Linked DNA regions of Arabidopsis thaliana. The protein of the gene in region 1 purifies or fractionates together with the protein of each later gene. This does not show direct contact. Each region holds a gene or a part of one and is shown in the gene's direction. Other genes may lie near its edges.

Evidence for each region.
Region 2: the proteins of emb1796 (region 1) and MCM3 fractionate together in Arabidopsis thaliana (co-fractionation; one large-scale study listed by BioGRID). This does not show direct contact.

What each region holds. Positions count from the first base shown.
Region 1 is NC_003074.8:18,253,771-18,258,703, forward strand, and holds emb1796 (Pentatricopeptide repeat (PPR) superfamily protein), read left to right. Parts: upstream 1-2,190; 5' UTR 2,191-2,315; coding exon 2,316-4,205; 3' UTR 4,206-4,433; downstream 4,434-4,933. Other genes in the region: AT3G49230 (uncharacterized protein), read left to right, coding at 635-762, 1,080-1,137; DMS3 (defective in meristem silencing 3), read right to left, coding at 4,843-4,863.
Region 2 is NC_003076.8:18,768,890-18,775,575, reverse strand, and holds MCM3 (Minichromosome maintenance (MCM2/3/5) family protein), read left to right. Parts: upstream 1-1,872; 5' UTR 1,873-1,969; coding exon 1,970-2,032; intron 2,033-2,127; coding exon 2,128-2,228; intron 2,229-2,416; coding exon 2,417-2,625; intron 2,626-2,724; coding exon 2,725-2,855; intron 2,856-2,947; coding exon 2,948-3,186; intron 3,187-3,260; coding exon 3,261-3,497; intron 3,498-3,598; coding exon 3,599-3,753; intron 3,754-3,866; coding exon 3,867-4,075; intron 4,076-4,159; coding exon 4,160-4,319; intron 4,320-4,405; coding exon 4,406-4,602; coding exon of another isoform or gene 4,603-4,614; exon of another isoform or gene 4,615-4,685; coding exon 4,686-4,745; exon of another isoform or gene 4,746-4,832; coding exon 4,833-4,922; coding exon of another isoform or gene 4,923-4,934; exon of another isoform or gene 4,935-5,014; coding exon 5,015-5,217; coding exon of another isoform or gene 5,218-5,221; exon of another isoform or gene 5,222-5,307; coding exon 5,308-5,527; intron 5,528-5,617; coding exon 5,618-5,674; 3' UTR 5,675-5,927; downstream 5,928-6,686. Other genes in the region: KASI (3-ketoacyl-acyl carrier protein synthase I), read left to right, coding at 204-377, 487-600, 700-849, 921-987, 1,070-1,137; AT5G46270 (Disease resistance protein (TIR-NBS-LRR class) family), read left to right, coding at 6,486-6,497.

The sequences.
Region 1 (4,933 bases):
TCCACTCTCCAGAGGTATTATTTAATAATAGATGAACACTCGAGGATAATTTTCCCTTGTTTTCTTGACAGTGAAGAAGTAATTATTGACTGATGTGTGATATATATGCCATGCATAAAAAGTTAAACTAGTTTGATTAAACGTAACTTATATGCTTCTTTTGTGTGTCAAAAGAAGGGCTAAAAGTCCAGACTCAAGCAACATTATTGTGTTTAACCGACTAAATGTTTCGAAAATTATTGGATTTTTTTTTGTATTCACACATTTTAATGTTGGATACAAAATAATTCAAACATTCAAAAAACAAATATGAATTGGATGTGTCGGTGATGAGTGGTGAGAGCCGGAGAGAGGAGCTCATGTGATTGAAGTCCATAGGTCACGGCCCACGACCGACACTCACTGTGGGGGCCACGATTTTGGGAACTCATATGTTCCAGTCATGTTCGACTTAACAAAGAATACCAAACATCATTTTCGTCACTTTCCAATTAAAATGCTTTCTTACGTTATACATTACTATAATTTATCATTCATTAAAACTTAAAATTGATGCAAATTCAGATTATATTTTCATTACACCAAAGGTCCAAATATATAATACACAAATGCAAATGCTAAGTCGCATACTCGCATGTCAAGTGACACCCAGGCGGACATGGCTGTTTTTGGGTTTTTGCGGATAGACGGTCACTTGGTTCATCACTTGCGAGATGGACTCGTGCTGCAATATACTTCGACTCTCTACCATTCTATTTTTAGGTAATGTTATTTCTACAACCTTTAAAGTTAGGAATAATTTAATTGTTATTACTATATAGTAGAAGTATATTTCCAAAATTCCAAAGACTGTATAGAATCGATCAAATTAATCTCAGATACCAAGCCAGATAGATTAACAAATTACTTACCAGAATATATAACAAGGAGGGAAAGAAAAGTGAATATGTTCAAAAAAACTATTCATTTTCACGGAGACCTTTTGTTCTACCTACGGATATATATTGGCTAACTTTTTTTTGGTAAAAAGTTAAATTTTATACCAATTTTCTAATTTTTTCTCTACAATGCTGAAACAGCTTATTTAAAAAAGCAACAATTAGAAAGGGAAGGAGATACAACCAAAGTAGAAACTAAGAAGAGAAATAGAAGAAGAAGGAGGACCAGGGAAGGATAGAAGGCGGTCTCTAACGGTGCGGTCCACGGCAGCCTTAGTCACAGAAGCCGAAGTGGAGATGTTGGTGAAGATCCTTGCATTTCGTTCGCGCCAAATGAGATAGCACGCAACCTGAGCGATGAGCTTGATGATGACAGAAGAGAGAGTTTGAGGTTGGAGCTTGCGCTGTAAAATCTAAGATGAGACTGAGAGAAGATCCAAGGGTGGCAAGCGCCAAACTTTAGAAGTTAAAGCTTCCCAAACAGAGGAAGAGAAGGGGCATTCGAAGAATAAGTATCGATGAGTCTCGATGCCAGCAGAACAGAGAACACAAGCTGAGGTGACGTTAATACCCCAGCCCCGCAACCTGTCCTTAGTAGGCAATCTGCCCAGGAACGCAAGCCACATAATAAATGAGTAGCGCGGAACTAACTTGATTTTGGAGTCAATAATCCATAGCTTGCTTTTCAAATATCTTTTTGTTTTTTTTGTTTTCCACGTTTTTCAAATATCTGTTGGACCATTTTGTCTTAGATTTAGATTCAATAACTTTTGCTATACTATACTGTGTATTCTTCTTGTACTAAATTTTGTAAAAACTGAATACCCAAACAAAAAAATACATGAAATACAAGTATTTTATTTAAAATTTAGACCTGTTCTCTTATTCGTTGGACTAAATATACAATAATAAATGGATAAATTATTTATAAAATAACAGTTATAAGATAGAAAAAAAATTACTACGGATGTGGTACAACAAATTTCTCGTTAAGAGAGATATGGGCCGGTCGAAGTGCCGGCCTCTATAGATAAGCCGGCACCGCGTATATTACGCACAACGTATTCCGCTCTTTTTTTGTTACATCATTGTGCAGAATGCAGATTCCTAACCAAAGAAAAAGAAAGTTTTTAAAAATATTTAATTATAATTATATGATGAAATCAAGAATGGGTCCTCCAAAAATCGAGCTTATGGCCCAATAAAGCCCAAACGTAAATAGCCAAGCCCAAGCATATTTATCCACGTTCCCAAACAATCCCTAAACCTCATCATCATCATCTCCAAACTCCTAAAACCCTAACAAGAACCCTTATCTCTCTCATTTCCTCTGAAAGGAATCATTTTTCCACTCAGAAAATCTCAAACATTTCAACCATGTCGATTTCTAAAGCCGCCTTTTTAAACCACCTTCAAACACTATCAAGATCCTACCGCCACCGTGTTCTGCCGCAGCCATTTCTCGCCGTCCGATACATGTCATTCGCGACTCAGGAAGAAGCCGCCGCTGAACGTCGCCGTCGTAAGCGTCGTCTTCGTATGGAGCCACCGGTTAATTCATTCAACAGATCTCAGCAACAACAATCTCAAATCCCTCGACCAATTCAAAACCCTAATATCCCGAAATTACCTGAATCTGTCTCTGCTCTCGTTGGGAAACGTCTCGATCTTCATAATCATATCCTGAAATTGATCCGAGAGAATGATTTAGAAGAAGCTGCTCTGTACACTCGTCACTCTGTGTATTCGAATTGCCGTCCCACGATTTTCACTGTGAATACTGTTTTAGCGGCGCAGCTTCGACAAGCTAAGTATGGAGCGCTTCTGCAATTGCATGGATTCATTAATCAAGCTGGTATTGCACCTAATATCATCACATACAATTTGATATTCCAGGCTTATCTTGATGTAAGGAAACCTGAAATTGCGTTGGAGCATTACAAGTTGTTTATAGATAATGCTCCATTGAATCCTTCTATTGCTACTTTTAGGATTTTAGTTAAGGGTTTAGTTAGTAATGACAATCTTGAGAAAGCAATGGAGATTAAAGAGGATATGGCTGTTAAAGGTTTTGTGGTGGATCCTGTTGTTTATAGTTATCTAATGATGGGGTGTGTGAAGAATTCTGATGCTGATGGTGTGTTAAAGCTTTATCAGGAGTTAAAGGAGAAGCTTGGTGGGTTTGTTGATGATGGTGTGGTTTATGGGCAATTGATGAAGGGGTATTTCATGAAGGAGATGGAGAAAGAGGCTATGGAGTGTTATGAGGAAGCTGTTGGAGAGAATTCAAAGGTTAGGATGAGTGCTATGGCTTATAATTATGTGCTGGAGGCTTTGAGTGAGAATGGGAAGTTTGATGAGGCTTTGAAGTTGTTTGATGCGGTGAAAAAGGAACATAATCCACCGAGGCATTTGGCTGTAAATTTGGGAACTTTTAATGTGATGGTTAATGGGTACTGTGCTGGAGGAAAGTTTGAGGAAGCTATGGAGGTTTTTAGGCAAATGGGTGATTTTAAGTGTAGTCCTGATACTTTATCGTTCAACAATCTGATGAATCAGCTGTGTGACAACGAGTTGTTGGCTGAGGCTGAGAAGCTTTATGGTGAAATGGAAGAGAAAAATGTGAAGCCTGATGAGTACACATATGGTTTGTTAATGGATACTTGTTTCAAGGAAGGTAAGATAGATGAAGGAGCTGCGTATTACAAAACAATGGTTGAGTCTAATCTAAGACCAAATTTGGCTGTGTATAACCGTTTGCAAGATCAGTTGATCAAAGCTGGGAAACTCGACGATGCAAAATCTTTCTTCGATATGATGGTGAGCAAACTCAAGATGGACGATGAGGCTTACAAATTCATCATGAGGGCGTTAAGTGAAGCTGGTAGACTCGACGAGATGCTCAAGATTGTGGATGAGATGCTGGATGATGACACGGTAAGAGTGAGTGAGGAACTGCAAGAGTTTGTGAAAGAAGAACTGAGGAAAGGAGGAAGAGAGGGAGATCTGGAGAAACTAATGGAAGAGAAAGAGAGATTGAAAGCAGAGGCAAAGGCGAAAGAGTTAGCAGATGCAGAAGAGAAGAAGAAGGCTCAAAGTATTAACATAGCTGCATTAATTCCTCCAAAAGCAGTGGAAGAAAAGAAAGAAACCGCAAAACTGCTTTGGGAAAACGAAGCTGGTGGTGTTGAAGAAGCCGATGTGGTGGAGATGGCTAAAGGAGTAGAAGCAGGTGGATCCAATGGTCAGGATCCACCGTCCTGCTGATCTTATTTTTTTCCTTGAATTCATTAGACTCTAGTTATCTTCTTATCATTCAACTTTTATGTAATTAGGGATTTGTTTGGGACAATAAGCTATGATTAATCTTTTGCTATAATGCAGGTGTTTGCAAAATCTTTTTTCCATGTTTGCTTTTGATTTCAAATTAACATGCTATGTAGAACATTTGTTTTAGTGGATGGTCTATGTAATCATTTCTTTATTACTCAATTTGGTGCATTATATACGTAACAAGAAATTGTAAATCTTATCCATTTGGGACAAAGATTTGAAGTGAGGAAAGACTGTATTCCAACTACATGAAGCAATAGAAACTGAGCATCTGATTAGAAAGCCTAGAAGATTGATTATGTACACAGCAAACTGGTCAAGTCAAAAGCAAAACAGACAGAGATTGGAAACAGCATAACCAAAACTAACCGATCTACTACCCTTCAAGGAAATTTATTAAAATCTAGTATATCTGATAAGATGCATTCCATGGAAGCAATCTATCAAAAACTTAGCTGGAAACAAGTTCTTATAGTCAAAATAGGCTTCCTACTTATAGTCAAAATAGGCTTCCTATAGAAGCAAGGGTCACTGTAACTCCGAGCTCTATGCTTCTTTGCTTGCTTTTTTTTCATCTGGGTGTGTTCATTGGCTGGGGCACCACCAACACATAAACAGACCAATGTTAGCCATATAAAACTTTCAGATAGAGGTATTTGAAG
Region 2 (6,686 bases), on another chromosome or scaffold:
TTTGAATTGTATATAAGAGCCTGTTTTGGTCTTAGTTTATAGAATCTGATGAAACTTGTGTTCCCTAGTCTATTAGCTCTGGAAGTTTCCTTGCACTTGAATTGTACTACATTTTCAAAGTTGGTTTATCTCACCATGAGATTGGCTCATACATGTGACATTTTGTTTTGGAGAGACCCACTAATTGTTGTATGCCCTAATAGGTGATGGAAAGCTTGGAACATGCAATGAAACGTGGTGCTCCAATTGTAGCAGAATATCTTGGAGGTGCTGTTAATTGTGATGCTCACCATATGACTGATCCAAGAGCTGATGGTCTTGGGGTTTCTTCATGCATTGAAAGATGCCTGGAAGATGCTGGTGTATCACCTGAGGAGGTAAAAAACACAAACTTTTCATGCTTCCTAAGTTTTAAGGCTATCTGAAACAAATTTCTTCATTAGATTCGTGTTACTTCCCTACTTATATTCATTCCACGTTTTTCAGGTAAATTACATCAATGCACATGCAACTTCCACTCTTGCTGGTGATCTTGCTGAGATTAATGCCATTAAAAAGGTATTCAAGAGCACTTCAGGGATCAAAATCAACGCCACCAAGGTTCGTCCCCAATGCTCTATGATTGAGTGTTCTTCTTCTCCTCTATTTCAATGTATTTGTTTGCTTTGCATTTCCTGTGAATGACAGTTTCTGTTACAGTCTATGATAGGTCACTGCCTCGGTGCAGCTGGAGGTCTAGAAGCCATCGCCACCGTGAAGGCTATCAACACTGGATGGCTGCATCCTTCCATCAACCAATTTGTACGTATAACAGGAAGTCAAGAAAAGGCTTCTTTGATTCCGCTTTCAGTTTGAACTGTTGCAAGATTTGAACTTGGTCATTGTATTAGACTCTCACACTCTTTGTTTTCTCATTGTAGAACCCAGAACAAGCTGTGGACTTTGACACGGTCCCAAACGAGAAGAAGCAACACGAGGTTGATGTTGGTAAGTGACAAACATGACCGCCTTCTCATTGGATTAAACTGGCAACAGTTTCACTGATTAATGTCTTTCTGTTTTGCTGCAGCCATATCAAACTCGTTCGGGTTCGGTGGACACAACTCGGTAGTCGCCTTCTCTGCCTTCAAACCCTGATTTCTTCATACCTTTTAGATTCTCTGCCCTATCGGTTACTATCATCATCCATCACCACCACTTGCAGCTTCTTGGTTCACAAGTTGGAGCTCTTCCTCTGGCCTTTTGCGGTTCTTTCATTCCCCGTTTCTTACGGTTGCTGAGATTTCAGATTTTGTTTGTTCTCTCTCTTGTCTGCGGAATGTTGTGTATCTTAGTTCGTTCCATATTTGCGTAATTTATAAAAACAGAAACTGAGAGAATCTTGTAGTAACGGTGTTATTGTCAGAATAATCCAATTAGGGGATTCTCATCTTTTATTTCTCAACAATTCTTGTCGTGTTTTTACATTCGAAGAAATTAGATTTATACTGAATTTTTTTTCAGTTATACATATGTTGTGATACATCCGAAAATGTTCTCAAATCACACAGGTTTATTTTGGTTTTCATATATACATTTTTCGGTTTACTGGCTTGAAGGCAGTAGCAAAAGTTAAACCGAATTTACAATGAATTGATTTGGTATGTCTGGTTTTTGGTTTAGAATCTGGGTGTATTATACCGCCTTGAGGAAATCAAACGCGCCAAACAAGCGCGTAGACGTAAGTCCAAAATTGTACCGGCCCAAATTTGGTTAATCAAAAAGCACGTAGACGAAAGGCCCAACTAATATCGGCCCAAAATGACCCTTCCCGCCAAAAAGGGTACAGGTTATCTCACGAAATCCCGCCATAAGGAGAAGATCCGCCCTTTATGCCTCTCGAAATCGGAAATCGAAAATCTCTAATCAGTTTTTTTTTTTTAAGTAGAAGAAGAAAAGTTCTTACGAAGAACCCAGATTTTGTTAAGAAATGGATGTGCCAGAGGAGACGAGGCTTCGCCACAAGCGAGATTTTATCCAGTTCCTCGATAGTGTAAGTCGATTTCTATCACTTTTCTCACCAGACATTTCTCGAGCTTCTGTTCTTATCTAATTTGAAAAATTGGATTTTTTTTACGGATTGTGTAGATGTATATGGAGGAAATCAAGGCTTTGGTACATCAAAAGCGTCACCGTCTCATTATTAATATCTCTGACATTCACCACCACTTCAGGGAAGTTGCCTCTAGGTTCGTCATCTTCTCAATTTGTCTTCCTCGAATTTTTAATCGGTTCTTTAGTATAAGGTTATGAATTTACGGCAGATTTTAGGGTTTTGTTAGATTCAGTGAGGTTAATTTGGGGATTTTTAAGGATTCACTACAATTGTCATATGTTTTGTGACCTTAAAGTTGATTGCTTTGGTTTTTTTGGATAGGATACTGAAGAATCCAAATGAGTATATGCAGTCATTTTGTGACGCAGCCACTGAAGCTACTCGTGCTATTGACCCTAAATACTTGAAGGAAGGAGAGCTTGTCCTTGTTGGTTTTGAAGGTTATTTTGTTTCTCGCGTTGTTACTCCTAGAGAGCTTCTCTCTGATTTTATTGGATCTATGGTCTGTGTTGAGGGCATTGTCACCAAATGTAAGCTCATCATTTTCACTCTATTCCTCTGCTTTTCTTCTGTTTCCTTTGTGTTTTACGTAGAAGATTTTGAACCTCTGACACATGCTTTGCTTTCAGGCTCTCTTGTGAGGCCAAAGGTTGTTAAAAGCGTTCACTTTTGTCCATCAACCGGTGAATTTACCAATCGAGATTATCGAGACATAACATCTCACGCTGGTTTACCCACTGGCTCTGTCTATCCCACAAGGGTAATTACATGTTTTTTGTTTTCGTTTTGTTCATTTACCTGTACTGCTGGAAGATTTGCCTCTTACTGAAGATTGAGTTTTTTTTTGTTCAGGATGATAAGGGAAACTTATTGGTGACTGAGTATGGGCTGTGCAAATACAAAGATCACCAGACCTTGTCAATTCAAGAAGTGCCTGAAAATGCTGCTCCTGGTCAGCTTCCACGAAGCGTTGATGTCATTGCTGAGGATGACCTTGTTGACTCATGCAAGCCAGGAGATCGAGTATCTGTTTTCGGTATTTACAAAGCTCTTCCTGGAAAAAGCAAGGGTAGTGTAAATGGAGTCTTTAGGTGCGTTTTCTTACACATCTGTTAGTTCAAGATGTTTTCACTCTGATAGTCTTGACCGAGTTCTTTCTGTGTAGGACTATCCTCATAGCCAATAATATCGCTCTGCTCAATAAAGAAGCAAATGCACCTATATACACTAAGCAAGACCTAGATAACATTAAAAATATTGCACGAAGAGATGATGCATTTGATCTCCTTGCTCGTTCCTTAGCACCTTCTATTTATGGGCACGCTTGGATAAAGAAAGCAGTAGTTTTACTGATGCTTGGTGGTGTTGAAAAGAACCTGAAGAACGGAACCCACTTGAGGGGGTAAGTCTTGCTTGAAAACAGATTTCAGATTCGACTCATTGGATACTTTTTGTCTAACTCATTTTTCTTTCTTCACTTGAAAACAAATCTTGTGCTTTCAGAGACATCAACATGATGATGGTTGGTGATCCATCTGTTGCCAAATCTCAACTTCTGAGAGCGATAATGAATATTGCACCTTTGGCTATATCAACCACAGGCCGTGGTTCTTCCGGTGTTGGGTTAACTGCTGCTGTGACTTCTGACCAAGAAACAGGTAAAAAGCACACAAAAGCGTTTCCACATTTTTTTATCAAATGCTAAAATCAAAATTTGAAGGAAGGTCAAAAGTGCTATTTCTCATTAAAATCAAATTCTCATTTTCATCAGGGGAACGAAGACTAGAAGCTGGTGCAATGGTCCTCGCTGATAAAGGTATCGTGTGCATTGACGAGTTTGATAAGATGAATGATCAGGACCGAGTTGCTATACACGAAGTGATGGAGCAACAGACTGTAACAATTGCAAAAGCCGGTATCCATGCATCACTGAATGCTAGATGCAGTGTGGTTGCAGCTGCAAATCCCATATACGGAACTGTAAGTTCTCACCGAAGTTTTCCTAATCTACTTACTCTACTGACTAGTATTTTTTTGTCCTAATACCTACTCTTGCTCCTGCAGTATGACAGATCACTGACTCCAACAAAGAACATTGGACTTCCAGATTCGCTGCTTTCTCGTTTTGATCTACTGTTTATTGTGTTGGATCAAATGGATGCTGGTATCGACAGCATGATTTCAGAACATGTCTTGCGCATGCATCGTTACAAGAACGATAGAGGTAGGAAACAAATCATGCTTCTATGTTTTACTAAACATTTCACAACCCATGTCTTGAAACGCATCTGACTTTTGAGTGAACCATAGGTGAGGCAGGGCCAGATGGGAGCTTGCCTTACGCGAGAGAAGACAATGCTGAGAGTGAAATGTTTGTTAAGTATAACCAAACACTACATGGGAAGAAGAAAAGAGGCCAAACACATGATAAAACCCTTACGATTAAGTTCTTGAAGAAGTACATTCATTACGCCAAGCACCGTATTACACCAAAGCTCACTGATGAAGTGAGACAGTGAACTCAAATATATAAATTTTTATGTATCTGATAATCTCTTCCACTAAATCTCTTTTGTTATTAAATTTGCAGGCATCGGAACGTATTGCAGAAGCATATGCAGATCTCAGAAATGCAGGTTCCGATACTAAGGTAATTTATTTCATAAAATAACATTGGACACTGTATCTTTTTCGTCTTGGGAACTTGTATTTGACACAACCATCGAAATCTCTGCAGACTGGAGGTACGCTTCCGATAACAGCCAGAACTCTAGAGACAATAATTCGTCTTGCTACGGCACATGCCAAAATGAAGTTGAGTAGCGAGGTAACAATCTAACTCAAATCTTCTGTTTCCCCACCTGGTCGTGAATATGTTCTATTCAGATTCTTTCTAAAGTGATAACTTTATTTTGAAAGGTTACTAAAGCTGATGCAGAGGCTGCCTTGAAGCTTATGAACTTTGCAATATATCATCAAGAATTAACTGAGATGGATGATCGTGAGCAAGAAGAACGTCAAAGGGAACAAGCTGAACAAGAAAGAACACCAAGTGGACGTAGAGGCAACCAACGCAGGAATAATGAAGATGGAGCAGAGAATGACACTGCAAATGTCGACAGGTAAACTAATTTGATCTCCTCCATGGAAACCTATATCACAGCTTTCTCAACCCTTATACTTTTTTCTTTCTCTTTTGCTGGTCCATTCAGTGAAACAGCAGATCCAATGGAAGTAGATGAACCTTCTGTAGAGCAATTCAGCGGCACGGTCTCTGCAGCAAGGATTGAAACCTTTGAGCGAGTGTTTGGGCAGCACATGAGGACACACAGGCTCGATGACATCTCTATTGCAGATATAGAGACTGTTGTCAACAACAATGGGGTTGGAGCATCTCGTTACTCTGCAGATGAGATTATGGCTCTCTTAGAGGTAATTCACAAATTAAGAGACAAGCTTTCTCATTCTTTAACTTTTTATACAATATCTTCATAACTTTACTCTATTGTGGATTTTATGCAGAAACTGCAAGATGATAACAAAGTGATGATCAGCGATGGCAAAGTTCATATCATTTGATCATATGAAGAAATCAATATTGATTGCATCATCATCATCATATTAGAACTCAAAAATAGTGTAGTAGTAAACTCTTGGAAACCAAAATATCATTTTGTAAAATCTTTATTCATACGTTATGTTTTTTGCATTTACTAGTGAAGTAAAACTGATGATAAAATGCTTAAAAAAACGCATCTGATTATAAAATTTGGAATTTATAACGAAAAGCACAATCCGAGAATAAAATACTTTCATATTTATCCTATAATTTCTTGAGCTGTTTATGCCAAATTTTATACATATGTAATCGACATCAAGATTATAGTGTATATGTTGTTTTAACCCAATGGTAAGAATAGAGTTGTGCCATATATAAGCCAACTTCAAAACCCTAATAATCACTACCTTGGAACTCTCTCGTCTAAAAGATCCATGTTTTTCCATTTGGTCTCTATTACTTTTTTTTTTTTTTTCCAAAACATGTTTGCTTTGTCCATGATGGATCCTATACGTTTCTAAAATTGTACATATAATCAGGTTAAATTCCACAAAGACGGATTGAAATCAGTTTTGGTATACAGAGTAATACAACAAAATCTATTTTTTTTTTTGTTGCCAAATAACAAAATCTATTTTGGTAGGTTACTGCACACGTTTCTCTATCAACCCTAGTCAAAACAATTGAGTTACTAAATAAACTTACGTAGTTAGGCCATACATGTCTCTGATTCAGACCAGAGCTTCTCAGAAATGTTAAGGCCATGAGCAAGAGAAACTTGTCTCCACTCTAAGAATTCTAAATTCTTAAAGTAATCATAAAGTGAGACGTATGTGTAGTAATGTAAGGGGATAAGACATTAGAGGCTATGAAACATTTGCTTATGACCTTGTACAAAAGATGATTAAGACATCAAATTGGAAATATCCGTCAAGTTGTGTCTGAAACAATAGTGAAACTGATTAGTGAAGACTTTTGTGGCCGTGTTTAATATTTTTATATAATTAAATCACCAAGACGTACGATTACAAT